2 linked regions of the Cricetulus griseus genome follow. The protein of the gene in region 2 interacts with the protein of the main gene of each other region in a pairwise test. Links are inferred from orthologs where the notes say so. Each region holds a gene or a part of one and is shown on either strand. Other genes may lie near its edges. The genes, in order: Spart and Smurf2.

The links.
Region 1: the proteins of Smurf2 (region 2) and Spart interact in a two-hybrid assay, tested with the Homo sapiens proteins (2 studies listed by BioGRID and IntAct). The link is inferred for Cricetulus griseus from reciprocal best matches to the Homo sapiens genes SMURF2 and SPART.

What each region holds. Positions count from the first base shown.
Region 1 is NW_023276806.1:96,040,607-96,057,116, reverse strand, and holds the start of Spart (spartin), read left to right. Parts: upstream 1-9,461; 5' UTR 9,462-9,580; intron 9,581-12,769; 5' UTR 12,770-12,846; intron 12,847-12,914; exon of another isoform or gene 12,915-13,426; intron 13,427-14,193; 5' UTR 14,194-14,195; coding exon 14,196-15,008; intron 15,009-16,510. UniProt on the Homo sapiens protein: Lipophagy receptor that plays an important role in lipid droplet (LD) turnover in motor neurons.
Region 2 is NC_048600.1:119,819,794-119,836,319, forward strand, and holds the start of Smurf2 (E3 ubiquitin-protein ligase SMURF2), read right to left. Parts: upstream 10,564-16,526; 5' UTR 10,549-10,563; coding exon 10,449-10,548; intron 1,405-10,448; coding exon 1,366-1,404; intron 1-1,365. UniProt on the Homo sapiens protein: E3 ubiquitin-protein ligase which accepts ubiquitin from an E2 ubiquitin-conjugating enzyme in the form of a thioester and then directly transfers the ubiquitin to targeted substrates.

The sequences.
Region 1 (16,510 bases), on a different chromosome or scaffold from region 2:
AATATCATTGAACCCTGCACCATATGTCTGTACCAATGCTTGCATCAGCATACATCACACTGACACAGAAGCTCCACACCCCACCAAAACAAAGAAAATGCTGCTGTCTAAGTACTCCATCTTTACCCAGAAACTCCCTTTAAAAGCTTATGGAATGGTTTTTCTTCCAGGTAAACTATTTATTTTAAGATTTAGAGTTTTTATTAATTTTATTTTATGTGTACTGGTGTTTTGCATGCAGTACCCACAGAGGCCAGATCCCCTGGAACTGGAGTGTACATATGCGTGAGCACCTATGTAGGTGCTGGGAACTGAACCTAGATTGTCTGAAAGAGCAGCCAGTGCTCTAAACCACCATCTGTCTCTCCAGTCCCATGGGGAAAAAAAAAGCATTGGTCTCCAGTCTTTTATAGGTAATATTTTTTAGAATTTAGCCTTGCTTAAAATTTCAACTGAGTTCTTATGCTCATAAACAGTGAGTATATACAGACATTGATGGATTCACTGTAATTATCCTTGAAACACTGAAGAAAGTAGAGGGTAGAGGAAGACACACCAGCTAAGGGTAGCACTGAAGTAGCTGTACTGAGGGGTTTGTGGCAATTTTGATGGAGAGAGGATGGAGCTCCATGGAATGTGTGGTATTTAAGAGATGCAGGAAGCAAGCAGCTGGATCCCGAAGTCTGCTCCCAGCTGCTGCTGCAGGGTGTGGCTGGAACATTGCTGTGGGAGAGGGAAGACTGGTGTGGCAGCATGGGAAGCTGGCCAGGTCTGCTAAGCTCCGAAGTCTTTCTGATACAATCAGGTCTCTTCCCCTGGCAGCATAAATCACTAAAGCCTGTTCAGACTTAGGCGGATGCCTGAAGGGAACACATTGTATTTTAACAAATGTTGGTGACATGTGGAAAGAAAAAAAAGATTCATTTCGAATTCAGAGAGGGAGCGGGAAAAATCCAGATGAGATATGGGGAGTGTGATAGAACAGTGAGGATACTAAGGACTCAGATGGTGGAAGTCATGGGGATTAAGGGTGGCTCTTTTAGGGATAAGATAAGGACACAGAGAGATAAACAGGAAGGTGAGCTTTTATCCTCAGACTGTGGTGTGCTTTACATGAATTCATTCACAAATCTATGAAATTTCAGAGTGATAGGTGCTTCTTCCTTCAAAAATGTGACAGTACATAAAAAGTAAATAAAGGCAAATTTGAGTTACTACTACTGACCTGGTGTAAATATCTTGATGTGGAGAATGTCCCATGGCTATGTTGAGGGTTCTCTTTGAAGAAAGCTCCGCAAAGCATATGCAGACCCGTTATCACATGTGTTTTCTTAAAGTCTTTATTTCAAAATAAAAAGTTAGACGCCAGGCTTCAATGCTGTCCTGTGGATGTCCTGGGACATGTTCCATGTTGACATGCTGGGACAGGACTGCCCTGAATCTGCTGGAGGGTGTGTCACTTCATAGCCACCTTAGTGCTGATCCAGTTCCAAAAGAGTATGACAACCACAGAAACAACACAACCGGGATGCTCCAACAATTTAATACTGTCTGTCTGTCTGTCTGTCTGTCTATCTATCTATCTATCTATCTATCCATCCATCCATCCATCCATCTATCATCTATTATTTTACAAAGATGATAGACAGAGGCTAAAAGTTGTGATGACAAAAGTCAAAAAAGAATGAGGCTAGAAGGACAGGCAGCACCTCACCATTGCTTTGTGGCTCTGGGGATAAAGTGAGAGGTCCAGTGATGGGGAGGGGAAGATTCGGCACCTGATCCCTGGACCCTAGGAAAAGAATTCAGTTCCCATTCAGATACTTCCACAGAAAAAATAATATAATAAGGGAAATAATAAAATCAACTGGAGATCTTTATGGTTCTTATTGTTTTCAGAATAAAGGGAAAATTCTGTATTTTACTATTCTTGTAAAGCATTAAGCATCTATAAGTAGAGCTCTCTGAGTTACATGATACTTAAAATATAGTCTATGCACCAGCTCCCAGGAATCTCTCAAAATGAACTTTTAGGCCCTTCTCTGCATTAGTGAATCAGACTGCATTCTTTCATTTTTAAAGTTTTTTTTTTAATTTTGTATGTATGAGTGTTTGCCTTTGTGTATGTATGTGCCCCACACCAGTGTTTGGTGCTTCAAGAAGTCAAAAGGGGGTGTTGGATCTCCTGGCACTGGAATGACAGATGGTTGTGAGACAGAAATCAAACCTGGGTCCTCTGGAAGAGCAGCAAGTGCTCCTAATTACTGGGCCATCTCTCCAGCCTGCACATATTTTTTAGAAGACATTAAGTGCAGGCATATCAACAACAAATATCTCTGGCCCAGTCAGTCTTGTCCTTCCATCACACAAATCTTCCCAAACAGAAAGTTAAGTGACTGAGCAGAGAACAACTCCTGTAGCATGCTGGAAAACAACCTGCTGACCAAAAACAACACTTTCAGGGGGAGAGGAGCAGCATGTAGTCTACATTCTGAGAGCTGTGTCTGTCTGACAGGAATGTCTTTCAGAACATGATGTCAGAACTCATTTCTTCAATCGATGAGTTACTTGTCTAACAAGTCTAGGGACAACATTGCTGTCGGTTCTGAGCCCTGAGATCTGCATTTGCCCTCCCCCATCACAGACACTCTGCCCTGCAAGCCTCTGTCTTCTATAATGCATGGGTAATATTGGTCCCATCTCCAGAATGAGGCTGGAGCCACAACACCTCCTTAAAATCATCCCCAAGGTCAGTATTAACAGATCCTGCTGGGATCCTTCATATATCACACAGGCAAAGATATGTTCATTATATATATATATATATATATATATATATATAATATATATATAATCAATAATTTTATTTAAAAACACAATTTTAATCAGTATATATTGCTTACTGTATAGATTCTGTAATAGGGTCTAGAGAGATGCCTTGTAGAGGACCTGGGGTCAGTTCCCAGCACCCACATGGCAGCTCACAACCATCTGTAACTGCAGTTCCAGGTGATCCAGCGCCCTCTCTGGCCTCCACAGGCACTGTATACATATGGTGCGCAGACATACATGCAGTCAAACACTCATACACATAAAATAAAAATAAATCTTAAAAAAATATTGTAATAATTAGTTGTAATCCCAGCACTTAGAGGTGAGAAGGGGGTTTGAAGCCAGCCTACATAGCAAAACCTTGACTCATCAAAATCAAACCAAATCAGGCAAAAATTGAGATGATTTTTAAAACAGTAGAGATACTTAGTAAAGTTTAAAAAAGTTTTCTGTTTTCTATCAGAGTAAAGAGGGATTTTGACAGTTGCAAAGGGATTTTAAATATAACCACAGTTATTGCTCCTGAACACTGTGGACCAGTCTGTGGAGCTACAAGGCAGAACCACACAGAAGTACTGAGTATGCAAGTTCACAGGGTTCCATCTAATTTATATCCTGGTGGAATTTACACAGAACAGCAGTTTCTTCTGCTGGGGCTTTTAGGAACCGTCTAGGTTCTGTCATTCAGAATCTGAGTCTTGTGGCAAGTTTAGCAGTCACCTATAAAGACACAAATTCTTTCCACTCATTCCCACAGCATTTGTGTTGATGCAGCTGGCACTGACTCCTCAGAAGACAGGGATGGAAACCCTGTATCCTGGTTTGTGGTTATGTGGCATTGAGTGTTGAAATGGACATGGGTAAATCACAAGTCAGCTCCAGCTCCATGTCAGAATGTGTGGAGGTTTTAACATCACCTTACAAAAAATTAGAATCACGTGAGTAGGGAGCCTCACTGGGGCTCATTTTCTCATATGCAGGACCTTCCATCCCTGTCAGGAAATACCTGATGTCACACAGTCATAAACCTAAAAGACCGTCCTAACACCTTTCCCTCTTCTGTGTCCAAGCCTGCTCCAATGAGTCAGCTGGGTTACCTGAGTAGGGTCATGAGGATTGAGAAAAGGCAGATAAAAGAAACAGGGACAGAAACACAGGATAGATTCGGGAGGACTGCCCAGTTAATACTTTTCAGCACACCGGACAGCCCCGAGTTTAATTTAGACCCTGCTTATATACAGACTATAGGCAAAGCAGAACAAAGAGCGGCATAGTCAATTAACCAGCTCCCTGCACTGTCCTTTAATGAGGAGCAGCCAAGCTCACTACCTATCGTGTGGGTCCTGCTAGCAGCAAGCAGCTTCATTCCCTATCTCTCTATGCCTTTCAGCTAGCATCAGAAGCTTGTTAGTTAGATAATATGATCTTTTCCCTGGGCTTCATCAGAACTTTTTCATGGCTCTCAGGGAGACTGGAGCTAGCAAACTTGAACTCTAATGTCTTATTAGCCAGAATAGACTCCAGATGGAAACTGAGTCACTTGTGGGCTCCCACACCTCTGTCCTCCCTGCATCCCAACTCCAGCAGCCTTATTCTAGTAGTCATAAGACCCATCACTCTGGGTCTGCCAATTTATCTATTTTCCTAAAGAAAAATAAAAACAGAAAATCCAAAATTGTAACATTGAGGGGGGCGGGGCAATGTGTCTAAGTGATCACAGTGTCAAATGGCTTCCATTTATTTAGCAGCAGATTAATTTTAATTTTTGCATATAGGTGTTTTCCCTGCATGTATGTTCATGCATCACATGTGTGCATTGCTTGAAGAGGCCAAAAGAGGCCATCAGATCGCCTGGAACTGGAGTTACAGATGATCATGAGATGCCATGTGGGTGCTAGAAATTGAACCCAGACTCTCTTCAAGAGCAGCCAGTGCTTTCAACTGCTGAGCCATCTCTCAACCCCCTCAAAGAGGTTTGTTAAAACAAAACAAAACAAAAACACAGCTTTGTGTATATACTATGCCAGTCATTCCGTTATGCATACAGACAGGAAGCAGTGTTTAGCTATCATTGCCATGTTTTAGCAGTGAGAAAATGGAGGTGCAACTGATCAGAGTAAACTGGCCCATGGTCCCAGAGGTTAGCCGCAGACTCGGAGTTTCAGTGTGGGTGCTGGGCTTCAGGGTCTGTGCTCTGGCACAGAATGCTTAGCAATCTGTTCCCTCCACCCAGAGTCAGAGCTTTGCATATATTATCATATTTAATCCCGAGCATAAGCCTTTGAAGAGATCACTGCTATCCCAATTCTACACATGAGGAAATGAAGTTTTGACACTAGTAAGTAGGTTGTCTAAGTTCGAGCTGGAGGTTGGCAAGAGGGCAAAGATTCAAATACAGGTTCTTCTGACAGCCCATGCTATTAAATATGTCTGTTTTAGAGCCAACCTAAGGAGGCCACCTCCTCTACCTTGGCAACATTACTTTCTTTACAAAGATCTTTCTGGTTTTCATAAAATATATCTCCTCTTGGGGTAAAGAACACCAGGCATGGTCAAGGTTTAAAATCACACACTCCAGTTTAAACTGTAGTTAGTACTAGATACAAGACCTTGGCCACATTTTCTGTCAACAAACCTCATTGCACATTGTTTGGATGGGATTCAAGGATGATGCATAGAAACCATTCGTGCTGTGTGCATGGTGGTTAGTGCAGCACAAATTCCCAAAGAGTAACAGGTCTGTAAAGGGTGGAAATCTGGCCCTGGCAGGCCATTGCTGGCGTCTGGAATCCTCTATAAAAACCTTTGGGATTTTCATCTTTTTGTCAGGGGACAGTCACCTGTTTGGCCCATGAGAAATTATAAAATTAAAAGGTACTTATTTTTATTTCACATGTATGGGTTTTTTGCCTGGATATATGTACATGCACCTCATATGTGCAGTACCCATGGAGGTCAGAAGAGGTTATGGGATCCCCTGAATCAGGAGTTAGAGATTGGTTGTGAGCCACCAAGAGTAAGCTGGGAACTGAACATAGGTCCGCTACAAGAGCAGCCAGTGCTCTTAAACACAGCTGTCTCTCAAACCCCGGGAGTATGAAATAAAAGTCAGACACCTCTGCTTGGCTTGGGAAAACAGTATTGGTCCAAATTTAGTTTTTTAGAAAGTTGGTCTTGCTGGGTTGCAAAAGGCCCTGTAACTAATTAACCAATTGATCTGTAACTGGATAGTTAAACTGTAACCAATTGACTGGTTGACTGAGTGGAACTCATTCCATAGCTCTAGGCTGCCTTTTCTTTTTCTGTAAGTGCCTTCAGATCATGTTGGATTTCCCAGAAACTGCTGTAGCTCTTGCTTCCCTCAGCAGCTTGTTTTGCTCAAATAAACACTATTGAATTTAATTGGTCTCAACAACTTTCCGTTTTGTAACCCTCATTAGGAAACTTTGTAAGGCTTCCAGATTTAAGGCTTACTTAAATAAGTAAAATCCATCTCCTTTAGTGTTGGTTGTCAAGACTATTTACAGAATTTAGGAAAATTTGTTTTAGCTTCATAATTTAATATTGATAATCTTGGGTTATTAATGTGTGTGGGGGGGATGTGAATTGCAGAGACTGGAGGAGGACACTTAGAGTCCTGCTCTGTGATTCTACAACATTATTGAGACAGGGTTTCTCACTGAGCCTAGAGTGAGACAGTCTTAGCAAATCCACACAAGCCTCCTGTCATCCATTGGGTCACAGTGCTGTGTCATGGCCATTATTAGCTTATTATATCAATGCTGGGGATTAGAACCATGTCTTCATGTTTGTTCAGCGAATGCCTTTAGCCACTGAGGCATCTCCTCACTTACAAAATTGAAGACTACAAACAGAGGGTTTGACAAGGTGTTGATGAAAAAAAAAAAGGCCTCTGCTTATATTTTTCTGGACTAATTTTCTTTAGACTGCTTTTTGGTCCCGTGCAGTCCATTCCTTACCTCTGCTCCACCCACATGTTGCTGAATGTTGTACAGGTTAGGCATCCCTAATCAGGGAGACTGGAATGATCCAGGATTGGTAAGTGATTAGTACCATGGTGCAAAGGGTAAACTTCTTCATTTGATAAGTGGCAGTCAAGATGTAAACACACTAAAACTGCATAAAATTGCCTTCAGCCTGTGTGTGTAAGTTATACATAAAACATAAATTAATTTTGTTTAAATTTAGGTCTCTTCATCTCCATAATACCTTATCATATCTGTACAAGTATTCTGAATTTTAAAATATATGAAACCTGAGGTATTTCTGCTCTCATGCATTTTGGATGAGAGATACTTGACTTGCAAGATCTATTCTGAAAGAGCGGTGTGGCTCCTGAACAGTGTCCGTATATCAGGGTTACACAGGGTCAGTTGAGCCTGCAGTTGGTAGTGAGGATAGACCTGGAAGTCAGTGTTTCACCACTATGGCTAAAATAGCGTAGTTATACACAGAAGCCATAGTGAACATAAATTTATCTCAAAAACAAACTAACAAAAAAACAAAGACTAAACATATTTAACTTAAGTTCTTGTCCAGATCCCCGAATACCCACATCTGTTTTTGACATTGAGGACAAGACAGGAAGTCAGATTCGAAGTTAGTGGTTTTAACCTGGAAGTGCCCCTGGATTTTACCAAAATACATATGACCACAGAGCTCATATTGGGAGCTGGCTTAGAAGGAGCCTGTGCAAAGTAGGACCCTCATGGGTAGCCAAGTAATACGTATCATGCTGACCATTTAAAATAGGAAGGCAATATTGTTGGAGCTATCACACTGATCAAAGTGGATTAGGATAAAGCCTCCAATGAAAACTTTACCCCAATTTTGGATTTGCTACACATTTTTCATTGAAGCCATTAAAATACAGGATACTGGAATTTTCTTTGGGGGGGCTCTGTAAAAAAATTGGTATTTTTTAAAAAAAAATTTTAAGTCTCTACAAATTTCTTAAGCACATGCAGTGGATGAAGAAACATCCGTTTCAAAAAATCTAAAAACTCAGTGAGAACAGCAGAAGGTTTTGAAATTTGAATCCAGTCTTTCTCTTCCTCCTTCTTTCTGCCTTTCTTTCTGTTTCCCCATCTCCCTCTCTCATGACAGGTCACTGGGATGGAAACCACCCCAGACTTTTTTGGCCAAAAACAGTCTCCGTGGCCAGTAGTTGGTGAGCTAGCCCCACCCAGCATCTCTCCTCCTACCACTCCTACGTGTTGCTGAAGGTAGGGTGTTATGAGGATGGTGGCAAATACGGTGGGTGCTTCCTCCTTCTAAATACCACTAGAGGGTATTTAGACATTAAATTGAACATGGCATACTGGAAATACCAGGTCACAACCACTCCAAACTGTCAATCTTTGTAAAACCATTTTGAAGTAGTTCCTAGAAACCGAGTAAGTGAATAAATATAATTAGTTGGTAGCAAATAGTTTTTCAGTCAAATGATTCAATTTTTTTATTGCCTGAAGAAATGGACTTATTGCATCAACACAGTGTGGATATGGCATTGTAAAGTGATTTGGAGCATATAATTTGAAAGCAGTTCAATGAATTGAGGAAGGATGCGGTTATAAAATCTGCCTGATTCATCTAAATAAAACAAACAGGAGTGTGTCCTAGTTTCATCTGTTGCTGTGAGAAAACATTTCATCAAAAAAGCAACTTGTAGGAGAAAGGGATTTGGTTTAGCTCACTATTCTAGGTTAACAGTTCATTGTGGTGAGGAAGTGAGCAGGAACCTCAAACAGCTAGGCATATTCCATCTACGTTATAGAGCAGAGAGAAAAGAATGAATGCATACATACAAGCATGCTCACTTGACTGCTTGCTTGGGCTCAGCACAATTTTTCTCCACCCTTTCAGGACTCCCTGCCTAGGGAATGGTGCTGCCCACAGTGGGCCCGCATACATACACATCAACTTAACACAGACCATCCCCCATTGAGAGTCTGTCTAGGTGACTACAGGTGATGTCAAGAGAGTAAAAGGAGTTTTATAATACCCATTCAACTATTTGGATCAAGACAAATGAGTACTTGTTGGCACAGTTCTAAGGGTAGATTTGATGTGCTGTTTTTGGTTGCTTACAATTCCCACCAGTGATGCAGGAGGGCTTCGAACCATCTTGCCAAACCTGTTACTGCCTATGTTTTGATTACAGCCATTCTAAGGAAACAGAAGTCACACCTCATTCTGATGTAAGCCTGAAGACTTATGGTATTGACCATCTTCTGATGCTGTTTCTGGTGGTCTGAATATCTTGTCTGAAGAAATCGTTACTCAAACCCTTTATTCACTTTCAATTTTTTGCTTTTATAAAGCATTGAGGTATGTTCTTTATGCATTATAGATTCAAGTAAGAAATAATGACCTCTTCTTCACTGCTGAACCATCTCTCCATTCCCCGTCCTAGTTTTTCTCTGTGTCACAACAGACTTAACTCTTTGGATGACAGGTCAGGTAGGGTCCCAGGCTCCAGTCAACATTAGTTCTCTACGTCCTCAATGCTCGACCCAGGGCGCCCCCTGGCGGTCAGAAGCTGTCATCGCCCGTGGCTGTGCCGGTCCCTTCAGCGGCCCCAGGGCGGCCGGTAGGGAGTGCGCAGGCGCGGTCCGACGTGGCCCGGGCCTGGCTGGGACCGGAGTGTGTCGGGCGTGTACGGCGCTCTCTCAGTGGGCTCCCGGGCTCGGAGCGGACCGCTGGCCTCCGGTGCGCTTTCTGGAAGGTCAGAGTGGGCAAAAGCTCAGCTCGGCGCGGGTGTGGTGACGCGTGGGCGGGCCCGGACACAGAGGGCGTCACTCGGGGCTTTGTGAGCCAGACTAACCCGGGGTACGCCGCGGGCTGTGGGGGGCTGCGGCCCGCGCCACGCCGGCATCTTGCAGGGAGCTCTTCTGCCGCAGAAGTTTCCAGAAGTCCTGCAGAGGGTATTCCAGCTAGTATTGAAGGAGCCTTCGCCCTCCCTGCACCCTCCAGAGTGCTGGCCCCGGGAGTGGCGCTCAGGTCTTAGATCCTCCCACCCCAGGACGCCGCGCATCCCAGTGCGGGTCTTCCCAGCCCTGGTACTCGCTTGTTCCCTGTGAGTCCTTCCATACCTGGTCCCTGCGGATTCCTAATCTGAGTCCTCCCATCCCTGATCCCTCCCTATTCATCCCTGTGTGCGTCCTCCACGGTTCTCTTTCCAGACCCCACTGGCTTTCTCGCTCCCCAGGGCCTACAGCTTGCCCATGGGTGGGCAGCCAGCTCCAGGAGCCACAGCACTGGGAATGAATGGCGTGGGGGTTTGCTCATTGGAATAGACTGGTTACTGGCATTCAGCGTCTCTGAGGACCCCTGCGGCCTAACTTCATATCTGGAAAAAGTTTTCTCTGGGAATGCGCACGGTTTTGTGACGCGGCATTATTGCGTTAGTGTATGGCTGGCTCCGTTACTCCCATGGCTGTGTTATTTCTTGATGGTCCTCGAGGTTTGCCTTGTTGTATTATACACTTAACGATTTTGCCTTCTAATTTTTCCTTTTTTTTTTTTTAAATCTCGATAAAATGACCCTCGGATATCTAAGAAGTTAGCAACTATCTTAAAATTTACAGAAGCAATTAGGCGAATAATAAGTCAGTAGAAGAGTACTCCTAGTTCCTAGGGAACTGCTCTTGGTCCGTGCTCTTTTCTGACCGTCTTAATCGATGGTCGTGGAGGACTTGTTTGAAACAGGAAACCTCTGTACTAATGTGGAATGTGGTTTGCTGCCCATGCGTGGTGCTTTCTGAAACATACAGTTCTCTAGCAAGCCAGAATTGGCTAGAATGGTACAGGAGTCGAATAGAAACCCACCCGGAGTTTTAGTTCCCCATGTTCCCTACCAGGATAGGAGTAAGTGATGTAGTTTTTGGATCTTAGTTCAGTCTGCTGACTGTAGCTAATCATGGAATGTTGTACACATCAGTGGGACTGAATTTCAGCTGTCTCATTTTTTAAATGTCATATATCTGGGGTTTTGAGTAAGCTAATTAGCTTTATTTCATCATTCCATATTTCATTTTTTAAAGAATCAGAATAATGGGGCTGGTGAGATGGCTCAACCCTGGAATAGGTACTTCACTTGCAGAAGACCCAAGTTCAGTTCCCAGGGCCCATATCTGTGTTATAACTGCCTCTTATTCCAGCTTCAGGGGATCCAATGTCTCTTGGTATCTATACTCCAGTGCACATAGCTGCCCCTCCCCACATGTGCAGAATTAAGCAGAATTAAAAATAATAAAAACAAACCTTTAAAAGACTAGTATAGTTCAAAAGTCAGACTGCACTATCACTTTGTGCCCTGTAAATGTCTGTATGTAACTTGCCGGTATATATTTTAAATAACAAACTCTTCCCTTTCCCCCTTTTTTTTTTAACAGACAAGGCATGCTGGCTTTAGAACTTCTGTTGCTAGCTGTGTTTCCCTTGAGCACCATTGTTTGCTACCTTTTCTGTCATAGAATGGAAGCCAGTTTCCAAGTATTTTGAAACAGAATTTTACTTGTGCTAGTACAAAGTGAACCACAGACACACATGCATATAGCTGTGTTTGAAATAGGTGCATCTGAAATTTTTTATTAGAATGTTTAAACAAGCTGATGGCAAAGTTTAAAGAGCTATGCCTGAGGAGGACCTGAGTTCAGATCCCCCTCTTCCCCCCCCAAAAAAAAACTGTAAAACTGTAATCTCAGCCCTCCTACTGGGAGATGGAAGGCAGAGGAAAGAGACTTCCCAGAAACTAGCCTTGTCTATGGAGCTGAGAAAACAAACAAACCCCAAAACCAAAAACAAAACCTGTCTTCTTAGAGTGAACAACACCCAGTGTTGTCATCTGACCTCCCTAGGCCCTGGGGCACATGTCTGCCAACTTTTCACCTGCAGATTTGTTCACACAAGGATAAGAAAAGAAAAATGTTTAAAAGTCCACCATTGTTATCTAGAATCGGGTATTGGTTCATGATTTGATAATTTGAATATCAAGCTAGTGAAGCACTGTTTAATACTTCAGACTGACATTCCAAAGGCTTTTCTTTTCCAAACTTTGAGAATTAAAGCATATGAAATCATTAACAACTTTTCAATCTTCTCAAGACCTACAGTAATCATTTTCCTTGAGAATATGACTGGACAGTGCTTGGTTCACTGTTTCTTCTAAGCACAGGAGCCCAGCTGGCTGCCCCGAAACCACACCCAGCCCAGCATAGATAGCCATGAAAGCAGCCCAGCACTATGTAGATGGTAGATGATGCTTTTGGAAGGTTGTACACTTCTGAGTCCATGCCTCCTTGGGCCCCAAGAAAAATGAACTATGGAATGTTTGTCCTGTGGCTTCTGGGAGGAGAAAGTGGTTGGGATCTATTGAAGCCTGTGGCATTATGATGACATAGCAGGATATAATTCCAGGGAAAGTGCAGGGTTAATTTCAGTAGTGACACTGGGATAGGGCAAATACCCGTTTGTATGTGGCCACTTGTATGTGGTATTTTCTGAATTGGAGGCTGTGTGTGTTCTGTCCACTACCATGAAGTTGCTGTGATTGGGCCAGCTATTGGCCTGTCTGATTTTCAGTTCTGAGAAGTCTGACTATTAAAGTCTGTGGCATCTTCACTGTGTAGACAGCTATGGAGATATTCTTCTGTCTCTTGATTTTTCTTCCTGTCCTGAGAAGCTGTACAGAGAGCACAGTGCTAAGCACGGGCACATGTGGGTGTTGAGCGTTTGCTGTAGAGTATATTGGACTTGACATACACTTTGAAGTACAGCAAAGGCTGTCTTTGGAAGATATAACACAAAGAAAAGTACTCCACAAATCATTTTTATACATGTCAGAATAATACTTTGGTTGTATTAGATAAAAGCTATCATTGAAATTTCACCTGTTTTCTTTTACTTTTGTTAGTGGTTCCTGGAAAATAAAAATTAATTTTGTAATCCTTCTGGACAAGGCTGCTGCAAGGCTTGTATTTATTTTGTAAAGTAAGTAACTCACCTTTCACCATGTACATAAAGAATTAAATATCTTTGAAAGCCAGCCTCTCTCTTTCCAAAGGCAGCTTAGATTGGTTTTCTGACCCAATTCTTGGTGTTTCCGTATCTCTCAGCAGTATAATAACATGGCTACTTTTTGTTTTACAGTTAAAGTCCCACTGAAGAGGTTTCAGCTCCTTCATCCTGACACACAAACTTTCCATCCACCCATCTTCCCATTCTCTCAGTCCAGTTTGCTGCAGTTTTCAATGTTATGACACGAAGAAAAACAGAATATGCCCTGATTACTTCATGGTTTTTGTTTGGCATGTTCTATCTGGAGTTACTAATTATCTTGATTTTTATCTCTGCAATTTTTCATTTTTACTAATTAAATCCTGAATTTTCCCAGGGTTGTATAAATCTTTCCTAAAACCTAGAAACACACCAGACATTGTCAGTTTTTATTTCCTGGATACTTACTGAAGTGTCTTCCAGTCTGGATGTCACTCTGGAACCAACCTGGGAATCCCATCTTCAGCCCTGGGATTCCACTCACCGAGTGCAGTGTGCAAATAACTGTCCCCAGGTTGGCCTCTCACCCTGTGCTTTAATGTCCCCCTGAACCTGCTTTCCAGCTCTGTCAGCTCTGTTTAAACTCAGGAATCTGTGCTTCCTCTTTGGGATTTATCTGCTCTCAGTGAATTACTCCCTTTACTCTTTCATCCGTATTTTCTCTATTCCACTTTTTAGAGCATTTTATGGTTCACATGGGGCCCTCTGGACAAAGTCCTAATTTCATTCTTGTTTCCCGTTGCTCATCTTTTTATTTCATTGCTCTCCATTCTGGGCATTTTCTCTAACTAACTTTTTCTCTCTCCACCGAGTTTACTTTCCAGCTGTTTTATGTGTAGTTGTTAAAAGCTCGTTTTTTTGAGGGGGGTGTCCTTTTGGGTATATGCATATCTTTTATCTTACGGATATTTTCCCCTAAGAGGTGAGCTGTAGGTAGTGGTGCATCACCTTGTTTTTAACTTTTGAGATAGGATCTGTAGCTGACCAAGTAGACTACAAAGCCTGTCAGTGAGCTCCAGGGATCTACCTCCCCCGCCCTGGGGTTAGTCCCCTGGGGCTGAACTCTGACCCACTTCTCCAGCCTTTACAGTATTTTAGGACCACCAAGAACATTCATTTATCAACTATGAAGTACTTGCTGAAGGCTCTCTCTGAAGGATTGGGAGCAGGACAGAGATCAGTGAGGCAGACCCTGTCCTTGAAATATATTCACGTAGGAAACAGGGCTAAGTACACAAAACACTAACTGGGTAATGGCAGGTGATGTTTCTTGTCTTGCAGAGATGGAGCAAGAGCCAGACAATGGAGAACCCGCTGAGATTAAGATCCTCAAGGAAGCATACGAGAAGGCCTTTTTGTTTGTTAATAAAGGACTGAACACGGATGAGTTAGGGCAGAAGGAGGAAGCAAAGAACTACTACAAGCAAGGAATAGGACACCTGCTTAGGGGCATCAGTATCATGGCTGCAGAGCCAGGGTGCACAGGCCCCGCGTGGGAGTCAGCCAGGCAGATGCAACAGAAAATGAAGGAAACACTTCAGAACGTCCGCACCAGGCTAGAGATTCTAGAGAAGGGCCTTGCCACATCTCTGCGGAATGATCTTCAGGATGTGCCTAAGTTATACCCAGAGTTCCCTCCTAAGGATACATGTAAGAAGTCCCCAGAGCCAGATTCGGATAGTTCAGCCCCCCAGCATGCTGAAGTAGATGGGAGTGCCTCTGCTGCAGGTGCCGCAAGCGCTGGGCCAAGTGCTGCGCTCTCTGCTGGGCCCCTACCCAGCTGTCCCACCGAAGCGCCCCCAGCCTACACCCTCCAGGCTGCCGAGGGTCACTACACTGTTTCCTATGGAACAGACTCTGGGGAGTTTTCCTCCGTGGGAGAAGACTTCTATAGGAACCATTCCCAGCCGCCCCCTCTCGAGACCTTGGGGCTCGATGCAGACGAGTTGATTTTGATACCGAACGGAGTGCAGATCTTTTTTGTAAACCCTGCAGGAGAGGTTAGCGCTCCCTCATACCCCGGATACCTGCGCATCGTGAGGTTCTTGGATAATTCTCTGGATACGGTTCTGAACCGCCCTCCTGGGTTTCTCCAGGTAAGCTCTTTGAAGCAACGTGCAAGCATAAGCCAAGAAACAGGTAGATTATCTCATTTTTTGTTGTTGTTGTTGATGTTTGTACCGCACAGGGTAAGAGCTAAAGGAAACGCATTTCTACTGAGTTCTGATACATCCATGTTTAGTTTGCTGGGATTTCTTCTGTTTTTAATGTTAGAAAGCTGGTTTGGATTTTATTTGTGGTTGGTTTTAGGACCTAAGAGAGATTTTTTTTTTAATTTTTATCTGAAGAAGACTTGTAGTTACTTAAATTTCAAAAGGTATTTATGGGAATCATGAGACTGAATATCAAGACCCACGGGGGGGGGGGGTGTGAACTGGCCTAGAACCACTCAGCCAGGGGCAGTGTTGCCCCTTGAGGGATCATTTTTAACAGTGTCTCAGAGTGTTTTCCTTACAGCTGAAGGGTGGTGGTTACCCGGTGTATCACAGCAACCAGTGAAACTGCTCAGTGGCCACACAGTACAGCCCATCAGGAAAAAATTGTCCATCCCTAAACCTCAGTCAAATGGAGGTTGAGAAGCCCTGGCCTCCGGGGGCTGAAATGCAAATAGGTTGACCAGAATGGTCCAAGAGTAAAAACTAACGAGAAGAAGTAACGTGTGTCAGGGCTTTTCTGGGGGCTTAGTGGTGTCTGCTCAGGTTCAGTCCAGCAACAATCTGCTGTGAGAAGGTTGCATGTAGGTGCCAGGAGATGCGCTCTTGAAAACTGGGGCACAGTATACATTCATTAGGTTTGTGTGGAAGAGAGATCACTGTTTAAACAAAGCTATTGCTTGTGCCCAGCCAGAGTCAGATAAGGTAATTTAGCTAGGCACTGGCTGTCTACAATTTTCATGCTACTTTGCCCTTGTTCTTATGGAAGTCATTTAACAACAGTTGGAAGCTAATCAGATGTGGAAACAGATTCTTGGGGCACAGTTGAAAGATTGATTACTGGACAAGAAGAATTGACTCAGTTCTCTCACGGAAGAAGCATTAGGGTTAAAAAAGAGCAAGCTGGTGACTGCGGTTAGGGGAGGGGTCGCAGAGAGTTTCTGCTGGTCTGGTTAACAGTGTTGCATAGTCACTAGACCTAAGAGATCTCTGGGTCCTTGACTCGGGAGGTGCAGGAAGAGAGCATCAGAAAGATGGCCCTTGGCTGCTGGATCTCAGATACGAAGATGCTCTCACTCCACCAGCACTTACTTTATCTTGTCCTATTTGATTTAATTTGGTTCTTAATGTTTTACATACCTTGTGTTTGGGTACTAAATAAAAAGTAGAAGTGCACCCCACATCAGCTGCCATATTAGCTATTTGTTTGTAGCAGTGTTCTGGAGTGTCTAATGAATGTATTTATCCTAAAAAACAAAAACAAACAAAAAACAGGTAGTAACACAGCTGTCTATTAGAATTTAGGTAAAATCGCCTATGCTCTAAAAATCATTATTAATTAGGAAAAGTAATTTTTTTAAAAGATTTCTGAGTTCCCTGGCATA
Region 2 (16,526 bases):
AATTTGAGTTAGAGGGTTGTGAGCCTCCATGTGGATTCTGAGAATCAAACCTGGACCCTCTGGATAAGCAGCCAGGTGCTCTTAATCACTAAGCCATCTCTCCAGGCCTGAGATTTACTATTCCTTTTAACCAACCTGAAAATTACCTAATGTCACACTAAATACCAAACACGCTGTTAGCTGACAGAAGTTAGATTTTAAAATCTAATAAAACAATTCTAATTTCAAATACTTTACATGTAAAATTTTTGACTAAAAGTTTTTAATTACAATCTTGTGACTGTTACTGAATAATTTAAAGCTAGTGTAAAGTATGAAATTACAAGGTTAAAATTAAAAACAAAGCTAAGTGTGGTGGTGCACTCCAGTAATCTGCTTGCAGAGACTACACAGTAGGTTCAAGAATTCAAGGTTAGACTGGGCTACCTGAAAGCCTGTCTCAAAACAAAAGCAACAAGTACAAAATGAGGAAGAGGAAAGAGATTATGAACTAAGATTTTTTTATAATTTATTTCTTTTTATTTTGTGTGCATTGGTGTTTTGCCTACATATGTGTCTGTGTGAGGATGCTGGATCCCCTGGAACCAGAACTACAAGCAGCCGTTAACTGCCATGTGGGGTTGTTAGGAATAGAACCCAGGTCCTCTGGAAGAACAGTCAGTGCTCTTAACCTCTGAGCCATCTCTCCAGTCCAGGATTTTTAATACATAAAAGCGAACTTCCTAATTCTCTCTATAAAACTTAATCCCATATGAAGCTACAAAAATTTTCAAAACTTCTAGGCATTGTTAATGCCTGTAATTCTAATACTCAGAAGACAGAGACAGGAGGACTATAAATTCAAGACCATCTTAGGCTACATAGCAAAACCTGTCCTAAAAAAAAAAAAGAAAAAAAAAAAAGAAAAAGAAAGAAAAGAAAACTGCATTTAATTGGCAAATAGACTACATATGTGGAACCAATGCCTGCTCTGGAGACTGGCAGTAGTTTCTTTTCTACAACTCTGGAAACTCCAAGCAGACTCAATTTTCTACCTCCCAATAAATCCTGAATGCATGAGCGAATTTTCCTTAAAATGTTAAAGTAGAAGAGTATCAAAATATTTCTTAAACCTTTTCTACAAACCTAAACACCTGCCTTTATATACCTGCATACACACATTTGTATAAATGTGTAGAAATGGATAAAGAAAAGGGGTAAAGCAAAATCCCCAAATCCTCTAGATAAGTCTGGGGCCAAATGACTTGTAATTATAGCACTCATAACAGTCTGTTGTTGAATCCCTAAACCAGGCAGTTCTGAAAATACAACTCCCCAAAAATCTACACAGGATATACAGATTTGTAGTAAAGTTAATTTACTTACGGAAAAAATCCTTTTTCACCAAGTTTTTTGCACAGAGTACTGTAAAGAAACAAAAACAAATACATAGGAAATTAAATTAAAATGGTAAGACTTCATTGCTTCGTTTTTAAACATCGAAAACAGCTGTGGATAATTAAACTCTAACTACAGTGAGGTATGAAATACAATCATAAACTTTGAAGAGTCTAGCCAACAAAGTTGAGTATCAATGATTGCAACCTTAGCAATAATCACTAGTAACAGTAGAGGAACAAAATTATAAATCTGATCATTTTATAACAGGGATCCAATTATCTTCCACCAAGACCTATTCTTAAGAGGGAAATTTTTCATAAAGGACTAGAGTGTGGTGATATTTTGTTTATGATCTAACAAATAAAGCTTGCCTAAAGATTAGAGTGCAAAGCTAGCCATACTAGGTAGCCAAAGAGGTCTGGCAGTGGTGGCACACACCTTTAATCCCAACACTCAGGAGGCAGAGGCAGAGACAGAGGCAGATGGATCTGTTAGTTCAAGGCCGCCCTGGGCTACCCAAAATTGATCCAGTCTAAAGGAGAAACAGAGCTCACACAAAGGTGATCCCAGCACTTGGAGTGACACGCCTTCAATCCCAGTACTAAGGAGGTGGAGACAGGAAGGGCTATGTCTAGGCAGAGAAAGGACTAAGGTGGGAGGAGACAAGAGATCATAGCAGTCTGAGGCATCAGTCTGAAACAGTCTGAGGAAGCAGTCTTGAGAGGCAGTGCAGTCTGAGGACAGGATCTCCCCTTGGGTCTGCGTATTGGTAGAGGTTAAGAACTCTCTAGTGGCTGGCTGCTTTGCTTCTCTGTTCTTCAGCTTTCACCTCCTGATAGCTGACTCCAAGTTTTTTGGTTTTTTTGTTTGTTTGGTTTTGGTTTTTCGAGACAGGGTTTCTCTGTGTAGCTTTGGAGCTTATCCTGGCACTCGCTCTGGAGACCAGGCTGGCCTCGAACTCACAGAGATCCGCCTGCCTCTGCCTCCCGAGTACTGGGATTAAAGGCGTGCGCCACCAACACCCGGCTCCAAGTTTTATTATTAAATACCAATCAGAATTTGTGCTACACTAGAGAGATGGCTCAGTGGTTTAGAGTACTTTCACTTTCAGAGGACCACAGTTCAGTTTTCAGCACCCAGGTCAGACTGCTCACAAATGCCTGTAACTTGATTTCAGGGGATCCAATGCTCTGCTCTCTTCTGGACTCTAATCAGAGGTGAATGTGTGAACACATATGTATACATGCGCGCGCGCGCGCACACACACACACACACACACACACACACACACTTCATGCACGAATACACACAAATAAAAATGAATTAAAAATAAAAAGATCTATTTTTGAAGAAATCCGGTGGTAATGGGAAAATGGCTCAAAGGAGAAGATACATAAATTCAGGTTGACATATCTATTTAAGGATGAAATAATTTTCTAAAGAAGAGGAACATAAATAAAAATTTCCTGATATAATTTGATATTTTTTTAAAAAAACTAACATTCTGTGCTCTGTAGTCAAGAGTTTTCTGTTCTGCCAAGTCCCACTGCCCTTCAGTCCCAAATGAATATACTGATGCTTATATTAGTTAGAAACTGTTTGGCCAATGGCTAAGGCTTCTTACTGGATAGCTCTCTATTAATTATTAACCCATTCTTATTAATCTAAGTATTTCCACATGGTCTTATCCTACCAGAGAATGTTCCAGCATGTTACTCTTTCAGCAGCTACATGGTGTCTTTGTCACCACCTCTCCCCAGAATTCTGGTAGCCCTGTCTATACTTCCTACCTGGCTATTAAGAGAAACATATACAGAAGGACATTCCCCCATCAGTGCTCTTATCTAAATGACACAGAAACCTTACAGGAGAGACCTGCCTTCCCTCAAATACCTCAGTGACAAGATGGGTCACCCATATGCTGGCTAGACTGCACATGCCAGACTGACAGCCTTAGTCTGATCCCCAGGACCAACATGGTAGAAGAAGAGGGGCCAACTCCTGAAAGTTGTCTCTTTGACCTCCATACCCCACCCCAACACACACTCATCAACAAATATAATCTTAATGTAAATTAAAAAACTAAATATCTCAAATCTGAGTGCCTTGTAATGTGAATATATGCACAACCTTCTGAATCTACCAAAAATCATCAAATTCAACACTTTAAAAATTTATTTATGGACTGGAGAGATGGCTCAGCAGTTAAGAGCACTCACTAACTGCTCTTCCAGAGGTCCTGAATTCAATTCCCAGCAACCACATGGTGGCTCATAACCATCTATAATAGGATCTGATGTCCTCTTCTGGCACGCAAGTATACAAGCAGAGCACTCATACATAAAATAAAAAAAAATTAATTTTATTTTAATGTTATGTGTAAGAGTGTTTCTATGCATCAATATATGAACACACACATGTGTGCCTGGTGTCCACAGAGGCCAGAAGAGAGCATCAGATCCCCTGGAATTGGAGTTCTGGACTGCTGCAAGCCACTATGTAGGTATTGGGAATTGTAGAGAAGTCAGTGCTCTTAGCCACTGAACCATTTCTCCAGCCTTTATAAACGTCTTTAATTCAAACTTAACAAGGAGCCAGGAGGTGGTGGCAGGTGCCTTTAATTCCAGCACTTGAGAGGGAGAGGCAGTTGGATCGCTGTGAGTTTGAGCCCAACCTGATCTACAGAGCAAATTCCAGAACAGCCTGGGCTACACAAAGAAACCCTGCCTTGAAAAACAAACAAAAACCTTAACAAGGAAAGAGAAAAATAAAAAGTTTCATATACGTATAATTAAATATATAAAATATGAATAGTTTTTGGTTAATCCCTATGTACTTCTCAGTTTTAAAGGTTTATCATAACAACTTAAGTTTGACATATAAAAATCATTTAGTATAAATCTAAGAGGGGGCTGGAGAGATGGCTCAGAGGTTAAGAGCACTGGCTGCTCTTCCAGAGGTCCTGAGTTCAATTCCCAGCAACCACATGGTGGCTCACAACCATCAGTAATGAGATCTTGTGCCCTCTTCTAGCCTGCAGGTTTACATGTAGACATAACACTATATATATAACAAATAAATGAACCTTTAAAAATAAATAAATCAATCTAAGAGGCCTAACTATAGCTAATTACTTTTGAATAAATTAAACAACATCAGTGTAGGGATAAAGGTACTGACAATCACAATACCCTAAATCCCTAGGCTGCATCTTAGAAGCAAATTTTTATTTGTGGATTTCTGAGACAAGGTCTCAGTATGTAGCCCCAGCTGGCCTGTAACTTGCTATGTGGACAAGGCTGGCCTTGAATTTACAGAGATTAAAGGTGTGTGCTACCACACCTGGCAGTTTTGTTTATAAAAACAAAAATTCAAACATGAAAACTAAGACCATAAGTGAAATTACTAAGTCATAAAATGGATTCGGAAAAATTTCCCAAACCTTTATCAGCACAGAAATCAAGCCAGTAGGATCAATACATATATAACACATGCAAATCTTGAGTTATGGCCTTTAATAGTAATAACAAGATGATTTTTAAATCGCCATTCATTCTCTGATTCATGACTTCAGAGAAACAGACAATCTGAGAATTCCCCTAACTAACTTCCTGCCATAAACTTATGTTTTCATACTTCTACTTACAAAGTCTACACTGTTGTACAAGACTCTCTCTCCACCTGTACTCTGGATATCACTTCCCACATCTACTCATGGACCTTGAGGGCCACCACAGACATGTGGCCTTGTCTCCTCTCACTACTCAAGCTTCCCTCCATCTGTCTCTGCTCTTTCATTAGGTAACTTCAAGTAACTATAATCTGGCTCCACTTCTTTACTGTTCCTGCCCATCAATGCCTCAGCCCCACCCCCCACCCCCCACTATTTAGCTTTTTCCCTCATCACAGCCCTACATTACTTATCCAAAGCCCAGGGACTTAATTATCAAATCCAGCCAGCAGATACTCTGCATTCTTTGTTGCATTTACTCCCTCGGGGAAATTTTCCACGACTGACTGACTACTCACTCTTTTGGAAGCTATCTCTTCTTTTGATTCTATTTAACAGCATATTCTCAAATGGCATAAAACTCACTCTAAGACTTTCTTGCCATATTTGGTGTTCCATCCATGAAAGCTGAGGTTCTTTAAGGTATTGCCCTTCTTTTACTGTATATTCTTTTACTGTATAACTATGGGTTAGTGTAGTCCCAAAGTTGGGCATGGTGGTGAATGCCTTTGATGCCCAGACTTGAAGGCAGAAGCAGGTATATCTCTATGAGTTTGAGGCCAGCCAGCTCCACATAGAGAGCTCTAGGACAGCCAGAGCTAACAGAGAAATCCTGTTTCAAAAAAAAATAAAATAGATGCTCATCTTAGTTAACCTTGAAATTCTATGTAATCTGCTATTGATATTCTTATTTTTCTATAGAAAGAGCTCATACCTCTAAGAGGGCTCATAGTTTAGCAGAGTAATAAAACTCTTCCATCTCAGTAAATAAACATAAAAAGCCATTTTTCATATATTCTCCTGGGTCTTTGTCATTTACTTTATAGTTCTGATAACATCTAACCTTTAAAACTGAACACCTAGATCTCCAAGCCTCAGGTCCACAAAAGAAAGAATGCTCCTAAGCAAATCATATACCCCAAACTATTCCTCCACCAGTTTACTTTAAACAAGGCTGAGGTGTACTTCAGAAGTACTTGTTTAGCATGCACAAGACCACAGGTCCATTCCCCTGCCCAGAAAAGAGGGGCAGCTGGAGGGGATGGGTACTTTTTTTTTAAGATTTTGTTTATTTATTATGTATACAACATTCTGCTTCCATGTATATCTGCACACCAGAGGAGGGTACCAGGGATGGTTGTGAGCCACCATGTGGTTGCTGGGAACTGAACTCAGGACCCCTGGAAGAGCAGCTAGTGCTCTCAACCTCTGAGCCATCTCTCCAGCCCCAGGATGGGTATTTTCAACCAACAATATCACCTACATGAGAAGCTCTGGGATACCCTCATCTGTCTACTTCTCTTCAGCCAATTCAGCCACAGCAATTACTACAAGCTTCTAATTGGGTCTCTGTCTCAAGCCTCACCAGCTTCCAGGTGCCAACACAGGACACTCTATGATCTTTTCCAAACACCTGATTACGACCTTTCCTTTTCTTCTCCATTCTTAAAGGTCTCAGATCAAACATATTTTCTCTTCAAGGCCTTGGCTACTGCTTACCTACTCCCTGACTTCATTCTCATCAATACAACTCCCAGTTAAGTTCCCTACTATAAGATCTGGACTAATTCTCAAAGGTATTCTTCCATCTCTCACTTACCACACATTTCATATGCCCTCCCTCCACAAAACATCTGTCCCAAGCTTCTTCACCTACCCATTTTTTGCAATCTCAAAAGGAAGAAAACATTTTTGAATGAAACAGAACTCAAAGTGTTGCAAAACTTCACTAAAATGGTGATTATTTTTCTTTAAACAATAAAACATAAATTAAAAACTAGGTATGGTGGCACATTCCTTTGATCACAGCACTTGGGAGGCAGAGGCAGGCAGATCTAAGTGAGTTTGAGGTCAGCCTGGTCTACAAATCAAGTTCCAGGAAAGCCAGGACTGTGAGAAAAAAAACTGAGAGCTACAGAGAGATGGCTTATCAGTTAAGAGCACTGGCTGGCTGTTCTTGCAAAGGTTCGACTCCCTGCACCCACAAAGCAGTCCACAACCACCTGTAACTCCAGTTCCAAGTACCCAGTGTGATATCTGGCCTCCACAGTCACCAGGCACACACATGGTACACCAACATACATGCAGGCAAAATATTCATACACATAAAATAAAAATTTAAAATGATACTGAAAACTCAAAAGAATAAAAACTGGACACATTCTAAATTTGTGAAGAAATAATTCAGAAACTACAGGAAAGTTGGGCGTGCTAGTAAACACCTGTAATCCCAGCACTCAAGGAGGCTGGTGGGAAAGAGACTGGAGACAAACTGACTGACTGACTGACTGACTGAATAGAGGAAGAAAAGAAAGGAAAGAAGAGAAATCAGAGTACTAGAAGAAACAAGATTTAAAGCAAGAAACATCAGGACTGTCAAATGATTATTTTGTGTGCATATAGATGGAGGTCAGAGGTTGAAGTGAGGTATTTACCTCATTATCCACCTTATTTTTTGGTGGACATGGAGCACACTTATGTGGCTAGACTAGCTGACACCAGTAAGCCCTAGTATTTCTAGGGCTTAGTTCCCAGAACTAAGATTACAGGTTAGTGTGCTGTGCCTGTTTTTTGTTGTTGTTTTTTTTTTTTTTTTTTTTCCCCTAAAGTGCCAGGAATCCAAACTCTGATTATTATGCTGACATAGCAAGCACTTACCAACTTTAGCCTTCTCCTCAGCCCCAGATTATTATTCCTGGGACTAAATCTCATCAGCTTCAAATAGCTTTAAAATGTTTTTTATTTATTTGTTTGTGTATTGTGTGTCTGCATGAGTTTATGGCATCACATGCAATAGGTGTCCATGGAGGCCTAAAGAGTGTTGGATCCATGGGAGCTCAAGATACATGCAATCTTGGGCCACCAAATGTGGGTACTAGGAACTAGATTCAGGTCCTCAGGACTCACTAGTAACAGAAGAGCCATCCCTCCAGCCCCCAACTGATTTTTTTTTTAAGATTTTATTTATTTATTATGTATACAGTCTTCTGCCTGCATGCCATCATAGAGCACCAGATCTCATTCAAGGTGGTTGTGAGCCACCATGTGGTTGCTGGGAATTGAACTCAGGACCTCTTGAAAAGCAGTCAGTGCTCTTAACCGATAAGCCATCTCTCCAGCCCCCCCCAACTGATTTTTTGTAAGTGCTTTTTATATATACTGTTTAATGCTTTCAAAGCAACATCTTATATTTGTAACTCTGAAAGGGAGGATTATCAATATGTGATCTGAAAATGGTAATTTTATTCACTTGTATAAGTAAATTATTTTCATACTCTCTAGTCTTCATTGTACTGCTCTTGTTTCTTGAAAATCTACTTCAGAGATTAGAACCACAGCTCTCTGGCTTTTTCCATCTTCAGTACATTAATTATGGGAGAATTACTCCATAACCGTTCAAAGAATTCATGAATTTCAATATGACAAACTCCTGATTATGCAACTATTATTATGCAACCTTTGCCTAAGGAAGTATGTTTCTGAGGAATTTGTATATATGTTTTTAATCTATCATTTTTTGGTAACAGAACTATGTAAAATATAACCAAGACTGTTTAATTCTTGTTTTCTAAATGTTTCTCAAGAGAGACATTTACACACAATGTTAAGAGTGACATAGCAGGAGAGGGCCAATAGTTCAGACTTACTCCTATCCATCTTTAACATTTAGTAAACTTCTTATTGGAATAATATAAACAAAGGACACAGAAATGCTGATTGATTAAATTTTCACTAATTTTAATTAACACATTGCACTAGCTTCAGATATTATGCAATTATGTGCTAATTTTAATCAATGATAGCTACAAATGTAGCATATTAATACTATAGTACTACCACTGAAGTCCATTAGAGACAATGTCTCTAATGAGCCTAGAGCTGCATACAGATTAAATCTGCTATAGTACTTTGATAATGTTTAATATTCATCTCAAATTCCTCAAAGTGTTTCTATTCTTAAATCTGTACTTCCCAAAGTTGTTCTAGCTAGTCCATCTACCTCCTCTAAAGAAATAATAAGGTAACCAAATTAAGGAAAGTTGTATGATAGTTAATCGCCATTGTGAATTTTATTGGGTTTAGAGTTACCTAGGAGTAGGTGGGGCACACCTGTATATGTTTGTGAGATGGTTTCTAGAGAGGACTCATTAAGGAGAAAGATCAAACTAGATGTGGCTGGCATCAATCCATGAGCTTAGAACACTGGCGGTAAAAAAGAAAAGCCACCAAAATGCCCCGTCCCTGTGCTCTGCTTCCTGGCCCACCATGATGTGAGCTTCTCTGCTGTACTAAGTCCTCATACAATGTTGAGACTGACATCTCAGAAACCAAGAGCCAAAATAATCCTTCCTCCTTTAAGTTGCCCCTGCCCCAGCTATGATTTAAGTAACTAATAGAATAGTATGCTAATAATGTCTCTACATTTCACATGGATAGGGGTATAACCTTCTTGATATGCTTATAGAGAACAGAATAAACCAATTAATAATCAATTCTTTTTTACTGAGACAGTCTCACTGAGTTGCCTTGGCTGGCCTCTAACTCCTCATACAAACTAGGCTGGCCTCAAACTCAGAGATCTACCTGCCTCTGCCTCCTGAGTACTAACATTAAAGGCATGCGCCACAAGGCCTAGTTTCATTCTTTCATTTGACATTTCCTGAGTACTCACTTTATGCCAAGTACTATCATAGGTTCTGCAGATAAAGATACAACTCAATTATCATACCATAAATACCTTTTTTTTTTTGAGGGAGAAATTAGAATCCTTTTATGTAACCCTGCTGTGCTCAAAATCAAGATCTAGGGATTGGAGAAATGAACCAGCGGATAAGTGCACCTCTCTGGTCCTGCAGAGCACCAGAATTCAGTTCCCAGCATCATCCACAAGGTGCCTCATAACTACTTGAACTCCAGTTCCAGGAAATCTGATGCTCTTTTCTGACCTCTCTAGGCTTTCTACATATACACACTATACATACATACCTACACACACACACACACACACACACACACACACACACACACACACACTCAACACATGCACACATATACATAAAGTAAAATAAATATTTTTTTTATAAACCAAGATCCAGGTTTTTATAAACCTGCTTCAAATTCCTGAGTGCTGGGATCATAGGAATAGGCCACTACATTGGCTACAAATGTCTTCTGTTATTTTTGCAAGAAATGTTTTTAAATTTTTTCCAAAAATAACAACAAAAATCTTTTTATATGTATTTGAAGTAGTAACTGGAAAAAACACTTGTGGAAGGGCGGCTACCACACTGTGGGTTAAGTCACTAGTTTCTTTTTTTATTAGAAAGAAGTTGCCTACCTGCAACAAGCATCTGTAATAGTATCAGTGCAATGCCCAGCGGTAGTAACAGAATGGTAACAGAATGGAATGCCCTGCTGTTCTCGTAAGTTGTACTCATAATGAATGGTTGTCTGTGCTTAATTTCAATAAAGCTCCCAACTGCTCATTATATCCTTGCCAAAAATTCCCCTTCCTCCTCCAGACTGCAGTTGCATTCCAATTACAATGCACACTGGAATGAAGCTGTTCAAAGGGGGTAGAGGGAGATAGTCAGATATCCTTCTTTTCTTTGCTCCCAAACAAACAAACTTTCACAATACTGTTCCTGTAACTCAAAAGTTACAGAGAATATTTTAGCCAACATATTTTTCTGCACGTTCTTCAAACTTACGTTGGCACTGTAAAAAGTTAACATGGAAGTCCAGTTTAACACCTCTAAATGAAATCCCAACAAGCTGGCCCAGGCTCCAAAAAATATGCTTCTGTGCACCATTCCTTACCACTGACACATGACAGCAGCAGTTTAGAATTGCCACATGTTATTACAGGAGCTTAGACTATAGCTCTATTGACAGAAGCCTGTGTAGCACATTCAGGGCCCTGGATTCCATCCCCAGCACCACATAAACGAGGTGCGGTAGTATATGTCTATCCACAGAACTAGAGAGACCAAGACTGAAGGAACTGAAGTTTAAGTCTACATAAAAAGTTTGGGGTAACATGGTCTACATAAGGCCCTATCTCTAAAAAAAGAAAAAGATAATATAGGACTTTGTAATAAGCAAAAGTATCAAATACAAATCTAAACACATACATACATTTTGGAGAACTACTTGAAAGTATTTCACTACACATAATTTCTTAGATTTATTCATTTTCATTATGTGTATATGTGCTATACATGTGTGCATGCAAGTGCATGCAGAGTTATAGAAGAGGGCATTGGATTCTGCTGGAGATGAAGTTACACGTCCTTTTGAGTCTCCCAGTTTGGACCACACTGGAGTCCTTGAAAAGAGCATCAAGTGCTCTTAACCACTGAATCACCTCTCCAGCCACTCAGCTATGAATTTCAAACCAGTTTATTTTGTTGGTGGTGGTTTTATGTTTTGTTTTGTTTTGTTTTTTTAAGACAGGGTTTCTCTGTGTGGCCCTGGCTGTCCTGGAACTCACTTTGTAGACCAGGTTGACCTGAAACTCACAGAGAGCTGCCTGCCTCTGCATCCAGAGTGCTGGCATTAAAGGCATGAGCCATTACCACCCAGCTTTAAATCATTATTTCTATGAATTATTTTCTCCAACTTAAAAATGAAAATATATATGTACACTGTTTTAGTTACATCAATTCCCTTGTATTCTGTGTAGGGGCCAAACACTGTTCTATCAGTTACTATTTGTGCTGGCTAGTTTTATATAAACTTGCCACAAGCTAAAGTCATCACAGAGTAGGAACCTCAATTAAGAAACTGCCTTCAACTGGGAGCACACCTTTAATTCCAGCACTCAGGAGGCAGCCTGGTCTACAAAGCAAGTTCCAGGACAGCCAGAATTATAGAGAATAACCCTGTTTTGAAAGGGGGTGGGAGAAAAGGGAGAGGGGAAAGAGGGGGGAGGGAGGGAAAGAAAAGCAAAAAAAAAAAAAAAAAAAAAGCCTCCAGAAGAGAGGGCTGCAGGCAAGCTTGTAAGGTATTTTCTTAATTCGTGATTGATGGGGGAGGGCACAATCCATTGTGGGTGGGACCACCCCCGGGCTGGTGGTCATGAGGAGCAAGCCAGTAAGCAGCATCCTTCCAAGGCCTCTGCATCATTTCCTGCCTCCATGTCCCTGCCCTCGCTTGAGTTCCTGTCCTGACTTCCTTTGATGATGAATTAAGATGTGGAAGCATATGACAAATAAACCCTTTTCTCCCCAAGTTGCTTTGGTCATGGTGTTTCATCACAGCAACCGTAACCCTAAGACACTATTCCAAACTCAACCACTTCCTCTGCTAGAAGTCTTCCTTCAAACAGACCTACTCATAAATGATGGCTGTCCCAGAGGTTGGAAAAGCATACTTAGGGGTTGGGAGAGGACAGTTCAGTGGCTAAGAACACTGGCTGTTCTTCCAGAGAACCTGGATTTAGTTCCTAGCACTAACATGGCAGCTAACTCCAATTCCAGAAAGCCTGACACCCTCCTTTGGCATCCTCAGGCACTGGGCACACATATGGTACACAGACATATGCAGACAAAATACATACATAGAATAAAAATAAATAAATAAATAAATCTAAAACTGTTTTGACAATGTCAGAACTGCATTTGAGACTGGTGCTACCATTTATTAGTGTGTAATCCGAAACACTATTTAATGAAGCTACGCCCTGAGACTTCATCTGAAAATAAGACTTCTATAAGTTACCTCATAGTGTTTTGAAGACTAAACAAACTAAACTACACAAAACAATCAGATTGGTACCTAATTTATAATCTATCAAGTGCTCAGCACATATTAGCTATTTTTGTTCTTTCTACTCTAAAATTTCCAGTGAAATCTGTTTACTACCAAGAAAAGAGTCTTCACATAATCTGACAAGAGGTTTATCTTAGTTCAGGCTGCCAAAACAAATACTGTAGCCTGGGTGGCTTAAACAACAAACACTATTTCTCAAAATTCTGGAAGATGTAAAGTCCAGGATCAATTGCCAGCAGGCTGAGTGTCTGATGAGAACCTTCTTCCCAGATTGTACACAGGCATGTTCTTGCTGCATCCCTGCAAAGCAAAGAAAACCTTCTTTTGTATCTATTACTAATCCTATTCATGCACGTTCTACACCTATCGACCTAATTCCCTACCGAAGGCTCCATCTACAGACAGCAACCCTTAGCAATTAAAGTTAACATATGAACTGGTGTGTGTGGGGGGGGGGGTACTCCACAGCAGAGTGTATGCACTCAGTTAAGTTTTCCAATAAATACTGACAAGTAAATCCCCATCTATATGTCTGGCTTCACTCCTCAAGCAAGCTCCAAGCCAATTTCAACTACCAAACATACACTCCTTACTTAGACATTTCACCAGCCCTTCAAATTTTATGTATTCAAGATGGAAATCATCAGTTTCCCCAGTAAGCCCCCTTTTTCCTTCTGACCTCTCAGTTCTATAAACTGCATGACATGTTTTCAAACACCCAGAAAGCAAATGCCTAGCCCTCTATTTAAAGCAGTTGACAAATTGCATTATCACTTATCTATTTCCATTTTCAATGTTCACATGTGTATGATATATCTAGCATACTTTAAAATGTGTCCAAAAACTTCCTCACAAAATATAGATTGAGCCTACAAACATGTGAGTTACTTTTTCTTATACACACAAAAAGAAACGAGTTGTGAGACAGCAAGATGGTCCAGTGGGTAAAGGCACTTATTACCAGGCCTGACAACCTGAATTCAATCCCCAGAAGCCAGCCACATTGTGGACGGGGTGGATAGAGAGAACTGACTCCCAAAAGTTGTCCTCTGACTGACACACTAGAAGTGGCATACTTGCACCCTGACACACACACACCCCAAACAAACAAACCCCACAAATACACGTGATAAAAAGCTGATAGGAGTTATAACTCATCCCACTTTGTCAAATAATAAATTAAAAATGTAAATCATTTTTCTGTCTCTTTAAAAATGTCAGTGATTCCACCCTTCTTTCTCATATTATTTTCTCACTAGACAGCCTCATTTCTTTGGCTCTCCTAAGTAAGATAGAAGATCTTTCTACCTTGGCATCATCCATGACACTCTTACCATCTCAAATGTGATTACTCCAACTAACCCTAAAAGTGGTTGAGAGTACCTTGTCCACTCTATGAAACTTCAATGTAAACCTTTCCTGACTGTCTCTGTCTCTGTTTCATGTTTGTCTGTCCTTCCCTTATTCCCTCCCTCCCCTAACCCTCGGATTCTAGTTCAATTTTCAACTTTTAATCAAGTATCACAGCGACTTCCTTAATCCAAAAAGATATGCCCTAGGAAACAGCATGGGTGGCCCATGGCCATCAAGGATAAGAAACAGTATGTATCTAAAGGAAGTCAAATACAATAATCTTGAGAATGTACAACTCTTCTAGGAAAGCTAACTCTTCTTTTTAAATATTTTATTTTGAATTACATGTCTGTGTGTGGGCTTGTGTATATGGGTGCAGCTGCTCACAGAGGTAAGGAGAGCTGGAGTTACAGGTGGCTGTGAAATGCCTGACATGGGTGCTGGGAACCAAACTCAGAACCTCTCCAAGAGCACATCATTCTTTATCTACTGCTGACTCTATTCTTACTTATTTTTATTTTATGTGCATTGGTGCTTTGCCTGCATGTATATCTCTGTGTGAATGTGTCATATCTTAGAGTTACACATAGTTGTGAGCTGCCATGTGGCTGCGGGGAACTGAACCTGGGTCCTATAGAAGAACAGCCAGTGCTCTTAAGCACCAAGCTATCTCTCCAGCCCTACTGACTCTATTCTTTTTCAGTTTGATTTTTACTTGTCCTTTCATGTGAGCCTCTAAGACCACTTTGACTCCACTTATTTCCAAGCTCCTTCTCACATCAACACATCAGTACTGTTCACGTGACATTTTTAATCATGCCTCCTGTCCCACAAAGCTGTTATTCTTTAATGTGACTGACATATATTGCCTACAGGTTGTTAAATAATCTTTTAAAAAGATTTGTTTATATGCGTTTGTTTGTTTATTATGTATGCCAGCACACCAGAAGAGGGCACCAGATCTCATTACACAGATGGTTGTGTGCCACCATGTAATTGCTGGGAATTAACTCAGAACCTCTGGAAGAGCAGCCAATGCTCTCAACCACTGAGTCATCTCTCAGCCCTGTTACATAATTTCAAACATAATATATATTCACATATTTATCAAATCAATAAAAATCCTAAGAAAATCACTGACAAAGCATTAGGATTAGGAAACTAGTAAGTAAATAATGAAATTTTCTCCTTGATTCTTAACCTAATAAAAATTGTTGTTCAAATCAAGATAGTCCCAAAACTACTTGTATTTGCTTAGCAAACTCTTTCAACCTTACTACCTACTGGAGTCCTTACAAATAACAGCCCTCACAGCCTATTCTCTAATGCACAGTAGAAAGGGATACTGTTGCACAAAAGTCTCTACATCTTGCTTCTACAACAATGTAAACAGGATAAACTTTCTGAATGTAAAAACTGCAGTTCTTTAGTACCTGATAATCTCCTAATAGAGCAAATCACCAAACAGATTCCATTGATAAATGCAGGCCACAAGAAAACTACACGGTAAAAAGAACTACAAGGGCCAGAAAGACTTCTCAGTAAGGGCTGGAGAGATGGCTCAGCGGTTAAGAGCACTGGCTGCTCTTCCAGAGGTCCTGAGCTCAATTCCCAACAACCACAATGTGGCTCACAACCATCTATAAGGAGATCTGGTGTCCTCTTCTGTCGTGCAGGCATACATGCAGGCAGAACACTGTATACATACTAAATAAATCTTTAAGACTGCTCAGTAAACAAAGGAGCTTACCGCACAAACCTGACCTCTCTAGCATCTGCATCCACATATCTGAATGCTGCTAATCCAGGCTTTGTAGCTGCTGACTACAGTGCAAATCTGACTAGGTGACATAATCCTAACTCAGATACACCATATCACATAAAAGTATGGACCACCAGATGCCCTAATTTCATACCATATGTATATTATAGACTACCTCCAGCCAGATCTCAACTTACCCACAATAAATGCAGGTACCACCAGGTAAGTCCACACAAAGATTTGGCTTACCCAATAAGACTCTTATCTGTAAAGAACTACCCTCTTGGGGCTGGAGAGATGGCTCAGCAGTTGAGAGGATTGGCTGCTCTTTTAGAGGACCCACATTCAATTCTCAGCACCCACACAGCAGCTCACAACTGTCTATAACTCTAGTTCCAGAGGATCTGGCATCCTCACACAGATACACATGTAAGGAAAACACCAATGCACACAAAATAAAATTTTAAGTTTTAAAAAGGAAAACTACCCTTTTCCTCCATCCTTGAGCTTAGATTCTGTGTTCTTAGA